Drosophila melanogaster: one gene and its partners. The protein of the gene in region 2 interacts with the protein of the main gene of each other region in a pairwise test. Each region holds a gene or a part of one and is shown on either strand. Other genes may lie near its edges.

What was found.
Region 1: the proteins of CG5446 (region 2) and CG32856 interact in a two-hybrid assay, tested with the Drosophila melanogaster proteins (one large-scale study listed by BioGRID).
Region 3: the proteins of CG5446 (region 2) and CG32809 interact in a two-hybrid assay, tested with the Drosophila melanogaster proteins (one large-scale study listed by BioGRID).

What each region holds. Positions count from the first base shown.
Region 1 is NT_033777.3:15,962,982-15,969,811, reverse strand, and holds CG32856 (uncharacterized protein), read left to right. Parts: upstream 1-4,460; 5' UTR 4,461-4,627; coding exon 4,628-4,738; intron 4,739-4,792; coding exon 4,793-5,005; 3' UTR 5,006-5,134; downstream 5,135-6,830. Other genes in the region: mor (moira), read left to right, coding at 218-1,237, 1,302-1,426; Rbf2 (Retinoblastoma-family protein 2), read right to left, coding at 1,855-4,206; CG5516 (uncharacterized protein), read right to left, coding at 5,164-5,647, 5,715-5,761; CG4287 (uncharacterized protein), read left to right, coding at 6,273-6,830.
Region 2 is NT_033779.5:12,424,399-12,431,644, reverse strand, and holds CG5446 (uncharacterized protein), read left to right. Parts: upstream 1-3,935; 5' UTR 3,936-4,077; coding exon 4,078-4,176; intron 4,177-4,257; coding exon 4,258-4,419; 3' UTR 4,420-5,014; downstream 5,015-7,246. Other genes in the region: CG5435 (uncharacterized protein), read left to right, coding at 858-898, 952-1,367, 1,452-1,573; Trm1 (tRNA methyltransferase 1), read right to left, coding at 1,673-1,847, 1,905-2,984, 3,048-3,502, 3,562-3,588; Fam92, read right to left, coding at 5,309-5,584, 5,636-6,106, 6,162-6,302, 6,357-6,516, 6,568-6,707.
Region 3 is NC_004354.4:1,688,573-1,697,366, reverse strand, and holds the start of CG32809 (uncharacterized protein), read left to right. Parts: upstream 1-4,598; 5' UTR 4,599-4,928; exon of another isoform or gene 4,929-5,070; intron 5,071-6,009; 5' UTR 6,010-6,054; coding exon 6,055-6,160; intron 6,161-6,233; coding exon of another isoform or gene 6,234-6,236; coding exon 6,237-6,287; intron 6,288-6,354; coding exon 6,355-6,494; intron 6,495-6,558; coding exon 6,559-7,167; intron 7,168-7,179; exon of another isoform or gene 7,180-7,488; coding exon of another isoform or gene 7,489-8,187; intron 8,188-8,243; coding exon of another isoform or gene 8,244-8,465; intron 8,466-8,597; coding exon of another isoform or gene 8,598-8,718; intron 8,719-8,792; coding exon of another isoform or gene 8,793-8,794. Other genes in the region: a6, read left to right, coding at 1,895-3,124; b6, read right to left, coding at 7,489-8,187, 8,244-8,465, 8,598-8,718, 8,793-8,794.

The sequences.
Region 1 (6,830 bases), on a different chromosome or scaffold from region 2:
GAGCGAGTTTTCTTTTAATCGATTTTAAAGGGAATTTACTCAATTGTTGGTTCTGCATTTGTTTGTCTTGTTGAACTCTTGTGTTGCTTTCATTCAAAATTCGCAATTTGTTCACCATTTGGCACTGTATTCGTATATTGTTTCGTTTTTGTGTTGCGCCCAATCTACCAAACTTACATCAACACCACAACCATCAAATAACAAACAACAACCACAGACGATGCCAAGTCCAAAGACAATACAAAATCGGATAAGACCAACACAAACACAGACTCGAGTTCCACATCATCATCAGCGACAGGCAACACCAACAACACTGACAAGAAACCAAAGGAGTCGTCCGGCTCCTCGCCTTCGGGCGATAAGTCAGCCATCAAGTCAGACAAATCAAACAAATCCTCACCCACAGAAACCGCAGCAGCCGCAAGTGGTGGCGAAGTGGACATCAAGACGGAGGACAGCAGTGGCGATGGCGAAACTAAGGACGGCACTGAGGCCAAAGAGGGAACGGGAACCGGAACAGGGCCATTGGCGGTGCCAAAGGAAGGAACATTTAGCGAAAATAACATGCAGACTGCGGCGGCGGCAGCTTTGGCATCGGCAGCAGTTAAAGCCAAACACCTGGCTGCCCTGGAGGAGCGTAAGATCAAATCCCTGGTGGCTCTCCTTGTTGAGACTCAGATGAAGAAGCTGGAGATCAAATTGCGCCACTTTGAGGAACTGGAGGCCACCATGGAGCGAGAGCGCGAGGGATTGGAGTACCAGCGTCAGCAGCTGATCACAGAGCGTCAGCAATTCCACCTGGAGCAGCTAAAGGCAGCCGAGTTCCGAGCGCGCCAACAAGCACATCATCGTCTTCAGCAAGAGCTCCAAGGCCAGGCGGCCGCGGGATCAATGATCTTGCCGCAGCAACAGCAGCTACCACAGGCCCAGCAGCCGCAGCAGCAACAGCAAACGCTGCCACCTCATCCGCACCTGGCGCAGCAGCAACAGCTGCCTCCGCATCCGCACCAGTTGCCGCCGCAGTCCCAACCGCTAGCGGGTCCCACCGCCCAGCACCAGCCGTTGCCCCCGCACGTAGTGTCGTCGCCCAACGGTGCTCCCTTTGCAGCGCCACCGATTTCGCTCACGGGAGGACTCCCGCCGGGCGCACCCACGGCCATTGTCACGAATCCGAGCGACCAAACCGGACCAGTCGCAGCGGGAGCAGCGCAATCTCAAGCACCTACACCCATGGGTAAGAACTTTAACGGATAACAATTCATAAACTATAATACTTAGACATCCAACTCCCGCCATAGATACTACACCACCAAGCAGCGGTCCAGTGTCAGATGCCAACGCACCGCCGGGATCGGCAATGCCACCAGGGGGAATTCCTCCGGCGAACACTGCTCCCATCGCCGGCGTAGCTCCCTCTTCTTAACTCTTACTCATAAGCCAGGAAACGTTAAAGTAAATAGCTCTAAGTCGTACGCTCTCAGTATGTATTATGTATACTCCACTTTAAGCCCAACTCTTGTGTGTAATCTGAAGGAGATGCACTACACATTGACGCGTCTCCAGTTTTGTGTAAGTTTCATTTCGTGTCCGGTCGCGTTTACAAGCAATTGCACAAATATTTTGAACCAAGTTTCAAAGCCGAAAAATAGGCATTCAATAAAAATTTATTTAAACTACGAGTGGCAGTTATTCCTTTATTTTTACAAAAGCAAAAGCTTTTAACTTACTTGAACAAGTTAATAAAATATCTATAATTTAAACATTATTTAATTACCATTTTTGAGTTTAAGAAATATACTAAGCTAGCTGCGTAAAATGCAGCCAAGTATTTAAGCCTTTTTTGATTGGTTATTAGATCACTGAAAGCTGGCGACGCCGCAGGATGTTTGGTCGCTTGATCTCTCTCATCAAGTCGTTACTCGAAGCAGCACGCTTTACGTTGGGCGAGCTTTGCAAGGAAAGTGGTGATGCGGCGGGAGATGAAGGTGGATGACTGGAGCAGGAGCCACTTTGGCATACCCTGGGAGGGGGCGGTGAAGATATGCTGATGTTGGCTCTCATGCTCAATTCGTTGGAAGTTGTTTCCGTCAGAATACCAACGTTACTCTGTGATTCTTCCAGTGACTTGCGTGTTTGCGCACACTCCAGGTGGCGGCCATAGTTGCCCATACTTTGGACATACACACTGTTGTAGAAAGTGATAATATCAGCGGTCTGACCATTGCCCAAGCTAACCTCTCGGTAAGCGCTTCTCCGAAAGTGCGGCTGTCGGCGATAGTGCTGGATAATCATGCTGAAAGTGAGGTGAAGCTTCTCGAGCCGAACATGAAGATGTATGGCGCACAACAGCAGTTGGTCCAGGTGTCGATTGCGGAGCAGACGGCTACTCTCTAAGGTGAAAGAGTGCTCGGCCAGGTGCCATATTTGGGGAAAGGAATCCACGAGGCAAAGACTCTTACACAGAAGGAGCAGCCGCCGGTTGGCCAGTCCGTAGAACTTTCGAAGGCAGATGCTTGAGCCTGTTGAAAAGTTCTCCTTGTCTTCTGTTTCTGCATCGACTTCCTTGTAGCGGGGAAGTCTTTGATTTAGCTCCCACCACAGCTGTGAGCTCTTGCGGAAAATCAACGAGTCCAGGCACATTTCCTCCACCACATCCAGGTGCTTGATCAGCTCTCTGCCCAGAAAACCATGATCGTAGCGCACCACCAACTCTAGAATCTTTTGAAAGTCGTAGGCGTCCAGTGAAAAGCAGTGCAGGACAAAGGGAAACCTTAGGCCTTCCACTAGTTTGTGGTGGACGTGAAGTGCCAGTTCCAGGCAGCAAGCTAACAGGGCGGCGGTAAGCTTGCGCTGCTTCATTAACTGACCAATCTTCAGCTGTGGTTTTTGAACCAGCTCCGGTCCCAAAATTTTCTGCAAATATTTGTAGTAAAGGCCTCTGGCCTGGCGGAATCGTTTTCCAGACAACTCAGCATCCAAAAAATCTTTCACGGCCATGGTAAAGGTCCGATTCATTTCTTCCAGAGTTTGATCTAAATAATTTACAATTTTATCTGCGTCTTCCTTCTTGGGGAATGCTTTTATAATGCTTAGGGGAAGACTTGCTGGTAGATCATGGGTGGACAGCTTCCTATGCGAAGGTGACGAGCTTGTTTGGAAGGCGAGCTGTGGGCTTTTAGGAGAGTCCCCTTTGGTCTCTATCGCCCCCTGGACGCTGAGCAGCACACGCTCGTCCATCTCACTAATGTCGGCTACTTGATTGGTGTATTTGCGATTTAAGTTTTCCAGATTGATATCTAGCATACCCTCCTTAATGATCTCCCGCATATGGGTGTCGTCTCCAACTAGACTATGGTCCATATAGAGCATTATTAAGGCTTTGTGGAAAAAGGCGTTCTTCATTTGCACCACTCCCTTCGCTGGTAGCTCGGGAATCAGTTCTCCCAGTGCTTCTAGCACGCTATATTTATTTAGCAAAATAGGATTGAAGTCTTCGGTGTCCCAATTCTTGGGCACTCCAGAGAACTCCCGGCGGATAACTACGGATCGGGGCACCTCTAAGGCGTTCACGAAAAGGAGATCCATTGTGCAAACGAGCACCTGACAGCCGTTGATCAGGTTTGTAATCGCAAAACCGGGTAACTCGTTGCGAATGACCAGGAAGAGCAACCAACCGAACTCATACAGCGCTTGGTAGTGATTCGCGGCACCCGGGTCCGCACCCTTGCCGGGGTGAACGAACAGGCTCCGAAAGATGTGCTTATAATGCCGCAGCAGCGTCGAAGTAATACCAAGTCGACAACGCAGTTCCTCAACCTCCAGCTGGAAAGTGTTCTCGTTTTGGGTCAGCCAATTCCAGTGCTCCATGCGGCGTAGAAACTGGGACACGTTCATCTTAAAGCTGCGCAGCAGACGGGTTAGTGACACGTTCCAGCAGCAGTTCTTGGCCACCGAATCGTTTGCCTCGTTGATGGACTCCCTAATATCGCGCATCTTCGAGCGCTGCAGTTCGCTGTAGACGGCGCAACACAGCCACTCCTGGGCATCTGCCTCGCTGGTGGACAGCCCGTTGACCGCATCCAAGCGATGGTAGGTGGACAGAGCGCTTTGCTGAATTCTCGCTTCCAGCTCCAATTGCTCGCAGCTGACGGAGAAGCGTCTCACCAGCGTCTCCGCCTCTCCCTCCACTTCACAAGTCTCCATTGGTAGGAAACTGTTTATATTCTATAGTCTACTAGTTTTTGTTTGTTTATATTTCTGCGTAGTTTACGCGAATCCCCGTTTAGACTGTACAAAATGCAAATTTCAGAAAGGCGCGAATGATTTCGATTGCTGCCTGCCTCACCGCCATTGTTATCGAAATTTTGCTTTTGCAACAGTGCTGCTTTAGCTGGCTTATCGATAGCTGATACTTAACCCATTGCTTTCACTTACTAAATAATTAATTACATTTCCTCATAAAGCAAGTGACTTTTAAAATACTTTCATGTTTTTAACATCATTTAGTTTTTATAAGTAATCTAAATTCAATTCATTTATTTCCTTGTCCATTGGAAGTATACCATATAAGGCCTTCATTAAAAAGGGGTCTTTCTAAGGTTAAAGTTTATTATTTGTTTTCAAAATGCTGCAAACAAATCGAGTCCTTCAAAAAGAGCAGGCTGAACTATTTGCTATCCAGAAGAAACTCGACCGAGTGCTCCCCGTCATTCAGGAGGCATTAAATTCACTAAAGGTATCTACAAATCTCTTGCTTCAATGACGGTTTTCCCAATTCAGTGTTCCACAGGTAGAGGAGCTGCATCTCAAGTCTCAGGTGGTGGGCCAGCAGAACCCAAAAACGCAGTGCTCCCCTGGAAGGGATCCCCTCCACATAGATCTGTCGGTGGAGCAGTCCCCAATCACAACTGTGATGGAGTCCCATCTCGTCAACAGCCAGCAAATAGATCTGGATCTCGTAAGCCAAATGAGGCGTTTCGAGGAGGAAGTCGACTCGGATTAAAATTGTTATTAAGGCTGGAACTTTACCAGAAAAACGTACATGTTGGGAGCATTAAAATATAAACAATACAGTACCAAAAGTATGTTCATTTTCGGTGTAAGTGTGGGAAAACTAAACTAGTAAAGCTACATACTACAGACCACAAATCGGTCTCTTGATTACTCTTGATCGTCAGAAGATTCAGGTGAACTCCCGGCTCGTTTTTTCTTTTTTTGTGGAGCTCCCTGCTTTTGATCCTCGCTGCTGTCGCTGTCCGAGCCACTTCCACTGGAGTCTGACGAGCTGCCTTCCTCGTCGTCCGAATCCGAACTGGAGCTGCTCGAGTCTGATTCGGATGAGGAGCCCGATTCGCTGCTGCTGTCTGAGCTGTCCGACGAGCTGGAGGAGGACGAGGAGCTCTTGCTCGTTTTCCGCTTTCGACGGACCTTCTTTCCTTCCGAGGAAGCCACTTCCGAGTGCTCCTCCACCTGGTTCTTGGGTGCGTCAGCCTCCTTTTGGGACATACGCTTGCTTAGCTGCTTGGTACGCGAGCTCCGGTGGACGTATTTGCGCTTCTCCTTGCACTCATAGCTCCAGTGTCCGATCTGCAGGCACTTCTGGCACCGGATGCCATTGGGAAAGTCTGCTGCTTGCTTTGCGGATCTGTTGTTACAGAATTCGTAGGTTACAACAAAAAAGCCGGCTGGGGTACTTCTTAAACGCGACTAACCTCTTCTTTTGCGCTAATTTGCGGGCAGCTAGGCCCACCAAAGTCATCCTGAAGCACTCGAGCAGACGCTGTTGGGAGGAAATCTTGATGTGGGTGGAAACCAACGTGGCCGGGTGGAAAAACTGGGAAAAATGAGTATCAAAAATGTTTTTTATAATTTTTTTCGTCACATTAGCGATAGTCCACTGAAAATTGTATACTTCGCAAATCGACTGTATATGGTATGGTCACCCTTATTGTTATCGGCTATCGAACTCAACAGCTGCTTGCCTAATTTGTGTCTACCTGGTTTATGTTGAAATGTCTGAATTTTAAAGTTAATTAAGCCAAAATTTAAGTGCATTATGCATGGTCGTAAAAAAAATAAGAAATAAGCAACAGCTGACAGCTATTTCACCCTTAATTGACTGGCACAAATTGCTTGGTCAAACAATAACAAAAGCGCTGTGCTGACTAAGCGGCGAAAGTGGTTGCAACAAAGTCCAATCACTATCAATCGGTAAGGTTGCTGCAGGTCATTTGCTGACCAGTAATAAAGGATTTCATACACAGCTAGCCATGGACAACAGCGCGTTGATGCCACAGGCGAGCGGACGTCATATGCCGCCCGAGGAACTGGCCATGCAAGCACTAACCAAGCAGCTTTACAAGTCTCGTCTCTTCCGCGGTTATTATATGGAACGCTGCTTGGTGGAGCAGGTGTCCGGCTACCGGGACGTGGTGGTGCTTCAACGCAGTGAGCGAGAGTTGGAGAAGCTGCTGCACTCGAGTGCCGGCCAATTACAAAAGTTTTATCAACGCTTCGTGCCCAATATGTGGGTGGGCATCACCTATGGGAGTTACGGAAGTTACCAGCACAAAGCAGATCCTGGTCAACTGGAAACCTGCATCTGGACAGAGATGAATGATCTGGCTTTTGGAGAGTATTGGTTTAGCATCAAGACCCTTCGCTTCCGGGACCATGAAGTCCAGTTCAAACTGAAGATGATAAGGCCCGTGGAGCCAGAGCTGATGGCGACGCCGAGGAGATCACTGATTCTTAATAGAAGTAGCCCTGTTAAGGCGATCACAGCGGGTGGGGAAAACTCCTCCTCCAAGCCGGATGAAGTGGCGGAG
Region 2 (7,246 bases):
TTGTGGTTAAATCGCTCGCGATTAAGGATCAGCAGCAGCGCATCATCTAAGCTACAACTCCTTCCTCACGTAGGCGGACACCGCGTGGCTCCTGATTGTTGCTACTGCTGCTGCTGCTGCAGATGCTGATGCTGATGCTGCTGCTGTCGCATGATGCTGTTGCTGGTGCCGCTGATGCTGCAGTTGCAGTTGCCGTAGCCGTAGCAGCTTCCTGTTTCCTGTTAGACGCTGGCGCTGCCAAAGCTGCTCCAGATTCACTCATAGTTTCCCGTTTCCCGTCACTTCTTCTCTCGCCTCGTCTCGTCTCGTCTCAACTCGCGATTTGTTGCTGGTTGGCGTTGTTGGTGTTTTCCTGTATCTTGGTGGGCGTCCCTTTTGAGTTTAGGCGAAAAGTCATCATTTGCAGCAGAGGCCACATCGACGATGCGATGGATGCTAGAGTCTGGATTGCATACTGACTCGACCGAAATGTGGGATTCCCTAACGATCTGGTACATTCGGTAAGTGAGAGAGCTAACCCTTTGAATTTGCAGCCTAATTAAACGCTTCAATAAAGTTTTACTTGATTATAACTTAACCATCTACATATGTTATTAATTGGTTGAAATGGGGTTTTAAAACATATATGTATCTTGGAATATTGTAAAGAAAGATCTAGTATCTTCGGATGCCCAGAACATCCATCCATTATGTTTCGGTTTCTATTGACTCCCGAGAAACATGGTAGTCGGGGGGTATATTGACAAAGCAGTTGCCGGGAAACCGAAGGCAAAATCACATATACCCAAGTCCTTCTGAATACGATTCAGAAACCCTTTTACACTTTCATCTAAATTATATTGGTTTCTCCTGCAAAGATGATTCAGTACGATACTGTGCAGATCAAGAATGTATCATGGTAAGCTTTAGTTATGCCCGACTTGGCTCAAGATGACTATTGTGTGCTCTCAGGCAGCCGGAACTGCATACGGAGGGCACCTATGTGTGCTCTTTTCCAGAGCCCCCGCTGCCGGAGGCCCATCTGAAACCGGGCACCTGGCATGGCCATCTGGAGCCGTATCAGCGGCTCTTCTATCATCAAACGATGAACTCGGTGCGCTCGAGCAAGCGGTACCGTGCCAATCCGAACATCCCGAAGGATACGCTGGACTTTTCGCTGCAGTCGCGCTACGATCACACCCGCGAAGCATTTCCGGACAAGGTGGACTACGTGATGCAGAGGGAGACGTGCCGCGCCATAAGTAGCTGGTCAGCTCCTGGGGCGGCCAAGGAAATTGGTTCCCAACTCAAATCATTTCGGGTGTTGCGCAACACGCGCTTCATTCGGCGCAAGCAGGAGGACGTATTGGGTCATCCACTTCGCATAGGTAAGATCACAAAATTGGTACAAACCTAAAGTTCTCGACGCATTTTAAGTAACACCCACTTCGAATCTAATCATATTGTTGCAGGCGGTTGTAAAGAAAAGATTCATCCGCACAGCGTAAAGCTCATTTGCAGCGGTGTCCACAACCAGCTGGTGAACAATGGATTCTCGCGCCAGACCTCCGACGGCAACTTCTTCCGCTATTAGTTCCACAAATCTGTGTTTGCTTTCCCAGAAAGAATACCATTTTGCGTTTTGGGTTTTACAAACATTATTGGAAATAAATTTGGGACACAGAAGCAGTCGTCACGCAGTCGCCTCCAGCTTGGGCTGCTTGGGCAGGTGCTCCACATCTCCATCATACTCATCCACTGCTTGTGGAGTGTCCTGTTGGTCATCCTCCGCCTGTTGCTCCGACGCTTTGTGACGCTGTTTCTTGTTCTGGTTACGATAGCTCTTGGGTAGTTTGTTGTCACCAATCCTGAAATTGGATGGGAATTTAGTATGCGAAAGTGGGTGGCTCGATTACTTAGCTTACATAATAGTGGCTCTGGTTCCAGGTCCCCAATGTGGAGTCGGATTCTCTTGGAAGCGCGATAATGCCGATTTGCGACTCTTCGGGTTCGCCTCCGGATGGAGTTCATCGAACTCGTAGACAGCAGTGCATTCTTTCGAAAGTATGGCCGCCAGTGGAGATCCAGGAATCATCCTTTCGGGATTTACCGGATGTCGCTTGCTCCAGCTGCGCAGAATGTCCCATAGCACCGCTGGTGGAGCATTGGTTTTCAACGAATTCTTCGAGGCATGCGAGTATGAGACTCGATAGCCAGCGTGGAGAATAGCAGACCGGAACTTTAGCATGGGCACGATTTCTAGCTTGAGCACACAGCACAGTTTGTCCGGCGTGTAGTAAAGGGGAACATCCTGCAGCTCCTCTTGGACCATGGAAAGAACTCCAACGATTCGTCTCTGGGTTCCCAGCGATTGCAAGGTGGTCTCCTGGACCGCCGTTAAAAGATCCTGCACAAATTCGGGGTTATGAATCGGTGCCGACCAGATGGGTCCACCCAGATGATGCCTGTGACCGCAATGTTCGCACTGCGAGTTGACCGCCGGACCAGTGGGAATTCCGAACTTCAGCTGCTGGGGATTACCAGCCGTGGGATTTGGCTTGGTTATGCCCAAGGGCTGCAGCGTGAAGGTCTCACATCCGGTGCATTGGTATATCCAAGACTGCTTGCTCATCGACAGCTTGCATTGGGCCTGGCCGACGTACACACGCACAAATATCCGGATGTAAAAGTCCGCTGATATGCTCAGTAGTGGTTCGATGTACTTGCCGTACCTGTTCGCGTGGCTCTCGATGCAGTGCAGCAAAATGCGCAATGCCATCTCGTGACAGCACTTCATCCGCAGCGGAACCGATCCGTATTTTACATAGCAAGCTTCCGGAGCATTTCCGGCCAGCACGGCCATGTCGGTGGCTGTCACCAGCAGCAGGCCGCCGTCCACCAGGCACTGCATAGCGCCATCCAAAAAGCGATTGGGACATCCGTACGGATCCAAGTCAACTGCATCAAAACGCTTCTCGGGTTGCGTCGAAAGATACATGAGGGTCCTGTACGATGTATTGGAATGCCCCATTTTATACCGTGTGCCAATAGCTTAATTATAAACCTACATTGCATCGGAGTGACTGGGCTCGATCAGCTCCTCCACCTTGTTGTGCCGGATGTTTGTGTTGATCGAGGCCACTGCCTGGCGGGAAAGATCGTTGGCCACGATCTGGCGTACACCGGCGATTTCCTGCGCGTAACGGATGCTACGCAAACCGGTGGCTGCCAGTGCCTCCAGGATCCGAAGTCCATCCTCATATCGAGTACCGGCCTCATAAACAGGTGGATCCTCGGGAACGGGAGTGGTCTTCTCATCCTCCTGTTCCTTGACCTTCTTCCGCTGCTTTTTGAGCGCCTTTTCGCTCCGCTCCTTGGTCAATCTCTGTCGATAAACATTCAGAGCAGCAATGCTCAGATCTCGATTGAATTCCTGGACAGGATTGTAGAACACATTGCCGCCGGAAACGATCTCCGCATTACGTTCGCGTATCACGTTTTCGTTGGGATTTTCAGCAATAATCTGCAATCGTAATGCTTAGCTTAATGTGGTTTATTTATAATGTGTTTTTCTTTAAGAACCTGCGGCTTTTCCTCGTCCACTTCCATTTGGATGAGTTAAAAGAATACACGTGGGGCAGTGTTGAAAAACGTAAGCTACTAGCTATTAAGCTTTAAAACTAAAAATATACACAAATTTGTTGTTTTTTATATGAAATACGAAATAAACATTACAGAATTATATTTAAGTTTAATTTAGTTTCAAAATTTACAATTTGGGTATATTCTCTGTAATAATACATCCCATAAAATGATGTTGAATAAAAATGGTTCTTAATATTTATTTGAATTATTTAAAGATTAAAATAAATTAAAATAATAAATTGACATTAAATATGACTGGAAAATAAAACTTGAAGCTAGCTACTTTGCCACCACCAGGATTATCGAAAGGACTATCGAACCAAAGTCCGCCCCTATGCTTGATAAAGAAATTAATTTGCAGAAGTGAAACAGCCGCAGCCGCAAACAGAAGCAAAAGAGCTAGAAGTGATAGCATTTTTGTACTTTTATACAGTGCCACAAAGAAGCCACAGAATGACCGATCTGCGCAACGAGATGGACAGCGATCTGGACCAGAACTACTCCCTGAACAGCAATGCGGACCCCAAAAACATGCAGGAGCTGACCATATACGTGAGTAATGCCCGAACCGGGAACCACCCAGTAAATAGAGACACCAAATGAGCACCCAGTAAACCTGCCTCCTGTTATCAGGTACAAAATCTGTTGCAGAACGTTCAGGACAAGTTCCAGACGATGTCGGACCAGATAATAACGCGCATCGATGACATGGGCAACCGCATCGACGATCTGGAGAAGAGCATTGCGGATCTGATGAACCAGGCCGGGATCGAGGGTCAGGGACCGGAGAAATGAGATCCGTAGCGCTGGCACGGCCACGCCCATTCGGAAAGTGCATCCCAATACCATTAGATACATACATCGAACACCTGGCACCCAGTCACCCGTATCAAGTTTACAATTCCAGGTTCTCACATTCATTTAATCTCCTCCGCACCCAGCTGCTCCCCAAGAAATGAAGAAAAGAACACATTTGCTCATCCATTTATTGCTTAGTTTTAAGTTTCGCCCGGTCGGGGCACATCATAATTTAAGTAAAGTAATTCTTTTGTGAGCAATGGCCAATAATTTTGAATTATTGCCGTTTAGTTTCTATTTATAAATTAAAAATTCAAGAATTGTAAATTCCCTGCTATTTGGGTGTTCAGGACTTCGATTTAACAACGGTTACCAGGCGACCAGTTCCCGATTTGTGTTTCCTCACCTGAAAGTTTATTGCGAAAAGGGGAAGAGAAGCGCGTCATTTCCGCTTGATTAGTTATGATATGCATATATTTAGTATTGTTTATCTGGGACAAATAATGCAAATCGTGACCCGTGTCCATTAATAAAAAGTGTATGGAAATCAGCGCTGAATGGCAAGGAGTGCTATATAACAATCCCTACTTTTAAAAGGAAAATCAACATTGATTTGTGGACCAGAATGATTTTCGAATATTAATTGCAATTTGTGTTGCTTCTACATATCATGTTTTTTAAGGCAATGAGATAGAGAGTGGTAATACATTCTGATTAAATTATGAAAGGAAGCTCTGAGACTGCGGGGTTACAAAAACCAATTAAGATAAACCCTTAGAAGTATGTTCCTAATTCAATTTTATTTAAGCTCTTGCTACGATTCCAGAATGTGCCTGCAATACTGATGTGAGCTCTAGGAACTCTACTACTGGTCATAATTTGAGTGCTAGTGCTGGGGCACGTGGAACTGCTTCTGCAGCCTTACATGGGTGGAGGCCACCGCCTTGAATGGATGTTTGACCGTTTGTCTGCTGGGCTTCGAAGGAGCAGAAGTGGCACTGGCACTGGTCGATGGCGTGGCTATATCCTTGCTGGCAGATCGGATCTTGGCCCCAAAAACATTCTCCCGCGGAGGAACCTGGTTGCCCGGCTGCGTGGGTTCCCTCTCGTCATCCGTTGCCGTTCCAGATTCCTCGTCCTCTTCGCCACTTTGCTCGGTTTCCTTGGGAGGAATGGAGTTATTCTATCATTCCATAATCATGCCAAATCATACCTCATCTTCATCATCTTCCTCTTCATCCTGCTCGTCGGTTTCATCTTCGGGTTCTGTTTTACTTCCATGATTGATTCCGGCTCCCGTCAGATTCCTATTGCTCCTGGACAACTTCGGGCGCCTCTTGAGCGGACTGACCAGGTGCTCGTGCTCCAAGCTATCCATCGACTGGGAGCGCAGTCCCTTTTTGAGTGCAGTTTTCCTGGAAGCCAGCTCTTCTTTGGTCTTCATGAGTTTCTGAAACTCAATGAAATCGTCGCGCTCATCAATGGTTCCAATATCATAGTAGCTTGCGCTGAGTATCTCCAATGCCTTGGTGTGCTGTTTCATGGCGATCAGTATAAAATCGCTGATTATCTGCTTTAAGTCGCGCAACTTCCGCTGCTCGAAGTTGCCAATAATGTCGTCTATCTCCTTGTTTGTGCGCTGCACCTCCATTTTGGCCTTAAACAGCTCCGAATCGGCGGCACTCTACGGTAAGTTTTGGGAATTATATAAGAAGTAAATTGTTCGTTTTAATACCCACATTGTTCGCAGAAAACTTTGACTTGAGCTCAAGCATCTGGCGCTGACGTAGTACCTCCTTATCCCGCGCTATGACAGCCAGTCGAAGATTGTCCCTTGTGGACTTGCAAAGCTGCTCGAATTGCGCCAACTCGTTGACAATCTACATAAGTCAATAATATGATATAAGATGCAGATTTAAAAAAGGATAATTCACCTTGTGTTCCAATCGGTGTACATTGATGTCCATGTAATCACCCATTATGGTAACCGCGTTGGTGAAGCTCTTCAGTCCCTGACAGAGACTCTCGTTGATTTCCTCGTCGTCGGCGTAGCTCTTCACACTCTTGGCCAACTCATCAAAGGAGTCCCGATATCTGCAAGGTCTTATGATTATTCATTCAGATTTATTTATTTACCAAACTCACTTGGCCATTTTCCGCGTTACCAAAGCAAACGAAGAGCACATCTCCATTAGATGCCTTTCTGTTATGTTTATGCGCTCGTTTATTATTTTAACACGGTCATCTTTGGTGTTTAGAAAGGATAGTTTTCCACGACGAAACATTATTATTTTATTTTAGTCCCTTATATTTGTTTTCCTTCTTTATTTATTTTATTTCGACAATAAAATCAAGTGAAAACCGTTACCAAGGCAACGTCTAAATTCATCTGGCAACTCTCGTTCGAACAGCCAGCATATTTCCAGCTCTGTAAAATTAACAGAAATGTTAAGAACCTACTGCTGCCAGGTGGCGCTAGTATCAGCGTCTTCTGCAAGTACATAGATGGCGCAAGAATAAAGTTTATCAAGGAAATTTAAAACATTCTAAAAATATTCAATCCTAAAATAAATATCTGAATATGGGTACTTCATTTTTTTCCAACAGTGTCAAGGTCAAGAGCACGTTTCGTTATAATCTGTGAGTGTTTCTGTCTGTCATCCGGTGTCTAAATTTAAATTCGAAAGATTTATGACTAATTAAGAGACTGCAAATGATAAAGAAAAATATATATAATTAGTATATATAAAAAAATAGAAAATATACTACGATATTTACCTGAAGATCATAGCATTGTAAATAGTTTATTTAAAAACAAGTCAAT
Region 3 (8,794 bases), on a different chromosome or scaffold from region 2:
GTGCGTGTGGTGCGCCAAGATGTGGGTGCTGCTGCTCCTGCTCCTGCTCCTGCTCCGCACTCCGCGGCCTTAAACGGCCAAAGTGCAATCCAGAAACACAACACAAACAGTCAAAGGAGCTGCAGCTGGCGCAGCCAGGACTACGGAGGTCCTGTGCTGCCAGCCAAACGCAAAGCACCGGCTACAGTCGAGTCGAGCCAAGTCAAGACCGAGTCTATAATTTTTGTTGTGGTTCCTGTCTATTGTCTATTGTCTCTCGCCGCCCTTCTCCCTTTATCCCCCAGTAAACTGGTATCCTTCGCCAAGGGCAGACACATCTCCGTCTCCAGCTCCAACGCCTTTGCTCCTTGGCTCCTGGCTGCTCCGCGAGCTGGGGAAATGAGCCATTCGCGTGAATTACTGAAATCGGATCTTGCCCGCCCCGCTCCCCAGCGGACCGTACTTGACTCATGGCTGTTGCACACCCTTAAAGCTTAAAGCCAGATGTAAATGAGTGCCCAACAATGTACAATCCGATCCGCCGATTTGTTCATACAGCTAGTCAACATAACTTTGATCTTAAGCTATATGTATACCCAGATATATGAATATTTGGAAATATGAGATCAAGACTGTAGATCAAGTTGTGGAGTGGAGTATCGAGTATCAGTAATATGTTTCCAATGGTACTACTCTAGGCCCCTACGCCTGAACGTTGATTACTTTTATTTATCAGATTGCTAGCTTTTCGCTTGTCTCTAGAGAAATGGGTGAAAGGGCATACATAAGGCTACTTATTAACAAAAAAATTTCTTATTTTTGTACTAAATGCCTTCTAACAGTTATTTTCATTTTGAAATATCCCACCCAAAACTAGTGCTCCACTTCTGATCGCAAGACTCCGCTTGTAAGGCCTTATGTTCCTTTCAACCCTGTAGTAATTTGAACGGAAGTTTTGGGGCTTCACGATTTTTGTGGTTAATTTCCAGGCATCCTAAGTCTGCGAAAATTAATCGAAGGCATGAAAAGCCCAAGGGCGGTTGCTATATCTACATCCGCATCCGGAGGCGACGATCTGCCAACTGACTCCAGCTGGAGTCGGTGTCTTCCCTATCGTTCCGGTCCTCGTACGGATGTGGAGTGAAAGCTCTCCCAGATGTGAGTGAAAGCTTCTGAAAACAGAGCGCCGGCGCCGATTGAGTGCTTCTCAAAATTGTGGGTGGTGCCAAAATTAGCTTGAGTGCTTTGTCTTGAGATAAGAGTGTTTTACTTAATAGGAATTTTATCGGGGCTACCTGGTGTCCAAGTCGCTGGATTTGCTGGTGATCCAAAGCACTTGTATCCTTCTGTCCTTTGCTTCGAAGCTTCATTATTTTCTCTAGCTGATTTTAAATAGCGCGCCCAAGTGGCGAATGCATTATCGATAACTACCGACAGATACTGTTTGGCCAGTCGACGTGCACGGTTGCACGCAGCGTGGACTATCGAGAGAAGCGTTATCGATGTGTGGTCGCTTATCGATGCAGTTTTATAAACAGAACTCTAAAGTACAACAAAAGCACAAATTAAGCAGCTGCCGCGCGAAAAAACAACCATCTCGGCCCCGCTCGCATCTCGGCATGTCCAGCGGCGGGAGGCGCAGCGCCTAGTCCCGCGCCTCCGCTCCTCTCAAGGAAATCCCCCTGCGCCGCCACGCAATTATGCAAGTTGCAGCAGTGGATCTAACTGTACTCGCCGCCAGTGGAACAGCAAGAGGAGGAGGAGGAGGAGCCCCACGGGCCCGAGCCCATGACCCTTGACAACCCGTGGCAGGCACCGCCACCGCTAGAAGACGAGTCCACACACTCGGTAAATAGGTGCCCACCAGTGGCCGACCAGGCGTCACAGACTAACTCTTCTCCTGCCGCCTATAGACATGAACCAGAAACATTCCGAACCATTCTACATATCGCCCCGGCTGTTCGACAACCGTCGTCTCAAGCGGCGCCGCTGTCGGTGGATGGAACGCCTGCTTGAGCACCAGCGGATCTGCATGGCCCGGATGCGCGACCAAGTGGCTCTCGCCTCCAAGACTGACCGGCAGCTGTCCCATCTGCAGCGGCGCCATGTCGCCTCCACTTTGCAGCCGGACGTGACCATCGACCTGCTGTCGGATGACGATGAGACCCCATCGGCCGGACAGCCCGCTGCAGCTGGCCACAATCGCCTCCTGATTCCTGCCCCAGGGCACCGAGCACATAGAACGGGCAGAAGGCAGGCGCCGCGCAGAGCTGCCACCCACTCATACCCAGTGACCGACAGCATCCTGATAACCAGCGATGACGAGCACAACGAGCAGGAACCCAGCAGCACGGCAAGAGTGCGCTCCCAGCTCTCCATGCGCTCACCGCCACCGCTCGCACCGCTCACACAGTCGGAGACCATCGAAGAGGTAACTGTTTCGTTGGTGCCGCGCACCTCCACCACTGCCAACTGCCTGACGCGGGTGTCAGGTCACCCCAAGCCGTGTCGAGCGTCGACGGCGGCCAGCAATGGATTCGCCACCGCCGAAGGCGGAGAGGGCGGCAATGAAACGGGCTGTTTTCTGGAGGTGGACGTGGGCGGAGGCATCACAGCCACGCTGCCGGACGAGACGACCGTTCACACGGTCATCGCAAACCGTATTTACGAACTCTCGCTGAGCAAACTACGCGAAGGCCTGGCTTTTAGTGGAGTGCCGGAATACACGAACGACCTGATGCCGGAGCAGCTGCAGAAACTGTCACCGGCATTGCGCGCCAAAGTGGCGCCCTTGGTGGCTCCCTCGCCGCCCACGCCCATCTCCCTAAAACTGTCCAGCGACCTCAGCATATCACTGATCTCAGACGAAGACGATTGCGAAAGCACCGGTCCACATGTCAACGGAGGAGTCGGCACCGAACCGGTGCACCCCGTCGTGGTGGCTGCGGCGGAGGCACACGCTGCCGCCAAGCTGCTCAAGCAGCAGCAGCCACAGCTCTCGGTGGTGCAGCATCTGCAGTACGTCGGCGGCGGACTCGCAGCTCCAGTGGCTCTTGCCCTTCCGGTGATGGCAGCAAATCCGACCTCGTCTGCTTCCGTTGTTGCCTTGCCGCTGCAGCTGCCGCGGCGCCGAAAACTGGGATGAGCTGGATGACTGATGACCGATGACCCGCCAGAACCGAGTCCCCATCGCCATAATATCATTCCCCGAGCCGGAAGCACGGCATAGACTTTAACTAGCAGTGGCTAGAAGTGCAAATATGAACGTAGGTTTAGCGACAACACATCACTATTTCCCAGTTATCCTTGAATCCAGGACTAGTCCTTGTCCGGTCGATTTTTGTATCCTTCCCCTTTCCCAAGCACCTTCTCTCCATCTCACTCAGTTGCCCATTAATCTCCCTGTCTCTGTCATTCTCATATTTTAAGCTTTAAATGAAACGAGACGACAACGTACAAATGAAAGTAGAAAAGCATCAACCCATATACATTGTTGAGCAAAAAACACAAATTTCAAAAGATTATAAGAGGGAGTAGAAAATTTGAAGCGAGTGAGAAAGGTGAGCCCAATATTTATAAAGTACAAGTAGCTAGCTTAAGATATACTATGTATATGTACATTTGATTTAGTGTATCATATATTACATGGCTGAATCACGTCGTGTAATCCGTCGCAGTCCGCCGTCTGTATTACATTAGCTGATCACCAAACCGGAATAAATTTTCATTGTATATATATATATATATACATGTACACCAGCTGTGAGAAAAGGAAACTATGCGTATGCCATCAAGGTTCGTTTCGACCAAGCGCTCCTTGAACCACGACTGATCTCTGGCCAGGATTTCGTGGGTGAACTCGTATCGCGCTAGGGCACTCTTAATATAGAGCGAGAGTTGCGGCAGGAGCAGATCCTCAGAGTGGCTGACAAAGTCATGGGATCCTTGGTCACGCGCTTCAGTCGCTGAGCATGCTAATGCCCGCAGTGGTGTTGCCGCAAAACTGTCGAATACAATCGTAAATGAAAATGAAATCGAGTTGCATCTTCTGTGGCCAAACTCACTCGAGTGTTGTCCACGTGCGGCTTGATCGCGCCAGAGTCAGCCAAGTCCAGGATGTGCACGAAGGGCATGACCTGCTCACCGAAGGAAACTCACGAGACGTGATCCAGCGTGGCCTGGTTTTGGGGAGTCCACTTTCGGCGTTCAACTTCGCGGTATCTGCCTGCGAAGTTTAAGAAGTTTAGCCAGAAATCCGATACTATATAGTCTCTATATATACCCACCCACGTCATCACAGTGGCTCAACTCGTACGGCAAGCGGCTGATGTGAGGCTCGATTTCCCGCATCAGTAGTTGCTCCTCCTTCGCAGTGATGAAGTCCCTGATGACCCGCATGTCCGATTCAAACTGGTGCTGCTCACAGCGAGGCCACTGGCCGGGAAACTCCACCAGGGCGTGGCTGCGGGCCCAGACATCCGCTGGAATCCTGGCTACTCCCGGATAAACAAGCCGGCGCAGGACAAGCATGTGTTTCGTCACCTGTTTTTAAAGGCCTTCCGCCCAGTAATCGATTGGAGCCATTCGATAGCCACATGCGCTCAACCGCCAAGAAAATTACTCGATTGCCCCGGCACCAGGTAAACACACACAACAGAGCAGCGTCGGAATGCAGGGATGCCAGGACCTCTGACGGCTGGATGCCAGGGAACTTCGCTGGTCCGGGAACACTCGATTGGTAACGCATGCGCCGTGCAAGCACGCAGTCCTCGTTCGGCTAGGGCGGAAACGCTTTCCGGTGTAGATATACCAGAAATATTTCTGCTCTTCTGGCGTTATGCTGCGTCGGTGGACGAGTGCCGTGTCCTGACTCCAGAAAGCTGTGTAGTGACGAGTGCAAAGCGAAGCGAATTGAATCGAATCTTTATCCTAAGGACACGGCTAAATCGGTGAGCTCCTCGAGCTATGAGCACCTAGACCCGTTAATTGTGAAACCTTCCTGAATCGGCAAGGCAAGTGCGGTTTGAGAAAATGCCAGAAACATCGCCGGTGAACCGCCCACACACCCCCAAAGGTGCATAGGTATACAAGGTACAGCTAGGACGAGATCCCCCATGAAAACCCAAAGGAATCCAGCCAACTGACCGCTGACGTGTGTGGAAAAGTCAACAGACACGAGCTCCCCTCCACCGTGTTTAATGTGCACTCGTGCCCTGGAAACTGGACGCAACTGACACAATTAATGGCGGCTGGGAAAAAACGGGCCGGGGCACCGCACCTAAAACTAATCAAAAATTCCTTTAGTGGCCCGCAATAATGCCGATGGGCAGTGAATGTGGGTGGCTGTGTACATATTCCCAGGCACTGGCACTGGCAAAGGCAAAGGCATACTAAAACCCGTGAAGTGCTGCACTGAAAAGTATACCATGTTTCGTGTGTACCCATCTCTGCGTCCGTTTCCTTTTGGTGCCCCTTCCTCGGATTTCTTGCTCGAGATAAACATGTACATGCAGCCAAAATAACTTGACATGCCTTGTTTAAAGCAACTTCCAACTCCAAAAACGTTTACATATGCAAAACAAATTCGAAAGTGATTCGTGTTCTCTCAGCAAATGGCATCTTAATGGCAACTGCGATGAACAATTGTATTCGGCCAACACTATTGTCTGTTCTGCCAGCCGCATTTCTGGGGTCCCGATCCAGATCCGCATGCAGTTCCAGATCCAGCTCCAGTCACGCCTTCCGCTCTGTCCTGCTTTCTTGCTCCATTCCGTGTTGCAGAGCAGAGTTTGCGCACTCCGTTGCATACTTTTTGCATTGAGCACTGGCACTGCCACTGCGAGGCTCCACTCCATTCCACCACACCCTGTTAAAGAATGTGCGAGGATACATGGTTTATCTACACCAAAGTTGCATGTTGTGTGTGTGCGGTTTAGCGTGTTGTTGCCGGTACCAAACGTAAACAAAGACCAAAAAAATAAGGACATTTTCACGTTACCCATACGCCCCGTTGTCTCTCATTTTCTGCAGCTGCAACATAGCCACTGAGCTCCGCACATCTCAAACGGCTGCAGGATGTTGATCCGTTGGAAGAGTAAGGACAAGAGCGCCTCCTCCAACCAGAGCGTCGGCGGCAGCAGCAGCTCCTCGTCGAAGAAGAAGCGCAAGGGTAGAGAGGGCGGTAAGTAATCGGAATCCATAAATCGGAAGGAAGCGAAATGAAATGAGCCTAACTCCAGCTCCCTCTCTTTCAGAAGAAGACTGGCAGAATGAGGCAAAGTCGGGACGGCTTCCGTCGAATGAACAGGGTATGTTAAGGACCAAAGACGTCCACGGATCTGTAGCCCCATCCTCAGTGTCTATGTGTTTCCCCAGGTGGCGACGAAAGACGACGAGCCATGCGACGCGACGATCCACGACGACATACGCTCGGCGGCGATATGCTGGTCTACGGCTCGCAGCATCCACACGCCCATCAGATGGCGCCCCAGCAACAGCGGGCCATGGATCTGGAGGTGAGCTCCATCTCCCATCTCAACTCGTTTCTACCATCAGTTTCTGATTCTTGTCCCTTCTTAGATGAGTACGCGCGCGCAGAAGAACAAAAAGAACCAGCCGATGCGCGGTTATGCGCCTGTTAACCAGGGACCGCTGTTCGACGACGATCCCGGCATCATGTCGGAGGTGGAAACGGCCAGCACCGGATTCCGGAGGGGCGGCAAGCAGCGCTCCTCGCTCCCCGTGGTACGCACGCCCTCGAAAACTCTGGAACGACCGCTGGGCCTGGTCTTTCTGCAGTACCGCTCGGAGACGAAGCGCGCCCTGCTGCCCAACGAGATCACTTCGATTGATACGGTGCGCGCCCTGTTCGTACGCTCGTTTCCGCGCCAGTTGACCATGTCATATCTGGAGGGGCCCAATGTGAAGATTTACATTCACGATGCCAGCAAGGATATGTTCTACGAGCTGGAGGACGTGCGCTCGCATCTGCGCGAGATCAGGGATCGCTCCGTGCTGCGTCTCTTTGAGTCCACTGAGGTGGCAGCCCCGCCCCAGATTCTGCCCGGCGGCCCTGGAATACCCCAACCCCTGCCGCAGGCGCAGGCCAATTGGGATCAGGATCAGAGCTACTTCAGCGAGCCGGAGTTCGACTCGGACTACAAGCACCAGCATATCCACAAATCAAAGGTAAGTGCTGCTAGATGGTATCAGTTAAATAGTCCTTTATTCAATATCACCGCGTAATTGCTAGGGTGAGGATGTAGGGCTTAGGGAAGCAGGATGGATTGGTGTCCATGAGCGAGTCAAGGATTGTTTGGTGGCCAAATGGGTGGCAACAGTAAAGCGTTGACTCCCACATGGACAATTGTGGCACAAGATGCCCAACCAATCGAATACTTATTCGTACATATATAGAAAAAAAAAAGATATGGAAATAATGGGGTGGGGCTGGGAAAGCTTAAGCTGGGGTCCTAGGACACTAGAATGTTATCCGAACTTTGGGAACAACTAGAAGTTACCACATGGACCCACACTGAGGCCCTTGAGGGCGTTGTTCATGTGCTCGCGCACATCCTTCCACGAAAACACGATGGCACCCTGGAAAGGCTCCGTGTGGCAGCTGCTACAGATGGCCATCACGGCCCTTACCTCCTCCTCGGCGGGCTCTCGGTCGTGCGTGCTGATCTCCTCCTCCAGGCTCATCTTGAGCGTAAGATCCTGCTTAAATTGCTGTCCGCCAAAGTCGGCGAGACCGTTGTAAATCAAGCTCCCATCCGTTCCGGAACCGACACCGTCGTCCACCACAGATCCATCGTCCAGCAGCACCAGGCCGCGCTTCTGAACCTTCTTAGTGGCGTCGGTGTTCCTCTTGAACTGGATGTGGGTCTCCGTTTCGTCGATGAACTGCACGTTGGCTGAGTTACTTAGCATTTGGAAGCGTTTGCCACCGCCACTAGGCTGCAATCCGCTCGGCGGCGAGAGGCCAAGGAGTTGCTGGGCCACCAGTCGCGATCCCGCGTTTATCTGTCCGTTCACAAAATTTGTGTTGATGGTGATGGCCTGCTGGGCGGAATCGGTCGGAGCTCCGGCCGCGCCAGGAGCGGGAGCACCACTTGCAGTCGGCGGCGGATTGGCCAAGTTGATGCGCACCCGGGTCGGGATCTGGCCACTGGCGAGCAGCGTGTGCATGGGTTGAGGACGATTAATCTGAATGGAGGTCTGGCGTGTTATATTGTCTCCGTGGGCACTGGTTACGAACTTACCGAGGGTGGGGCACGAGTGGTGCTGGAGACCTCCTGGCCCTCGTGATCAAAGTGGTGGACATGGTGGTGCTTGTGGTCGCGATGCGCCTTGCCTGCACTGAGCGCCACCCGATAGACCTGGACGAGCGTCATCTCGAAGTGGAGGCCGTGGCTCACCTCGCCGGTGACCGAACTGCCGCCGGAGCGCAGCTTGCCATTCGCTGGGATTTTATGTCCCACCAACTGAAGCAATTAAGAATTAAGTGGAGACGGAGATTTGAGATTATAGCAGCTGACATTCGCACGCCGAAAGTGAAAACGCGAACAAGGCATTTTGCAATATGCGTAATTGGAGTCAAATGGAGTCAAACTCACCGAGTTGTGGAAACCACGCCCAATGCGTTCTGCCTTCAGCCAGGCCTGCCACTCGCCCGTCTTGCCATTCCACGAGCTGCACATGTGATGCCACTGGCGCATTTTCAACGGGTAGTTCAATCTTGAGCAGAAAAACGATAAAGATTCGACGGATTGACGCCGGATTGATCGATGGATGGTTGCGTCTAGACTTACCT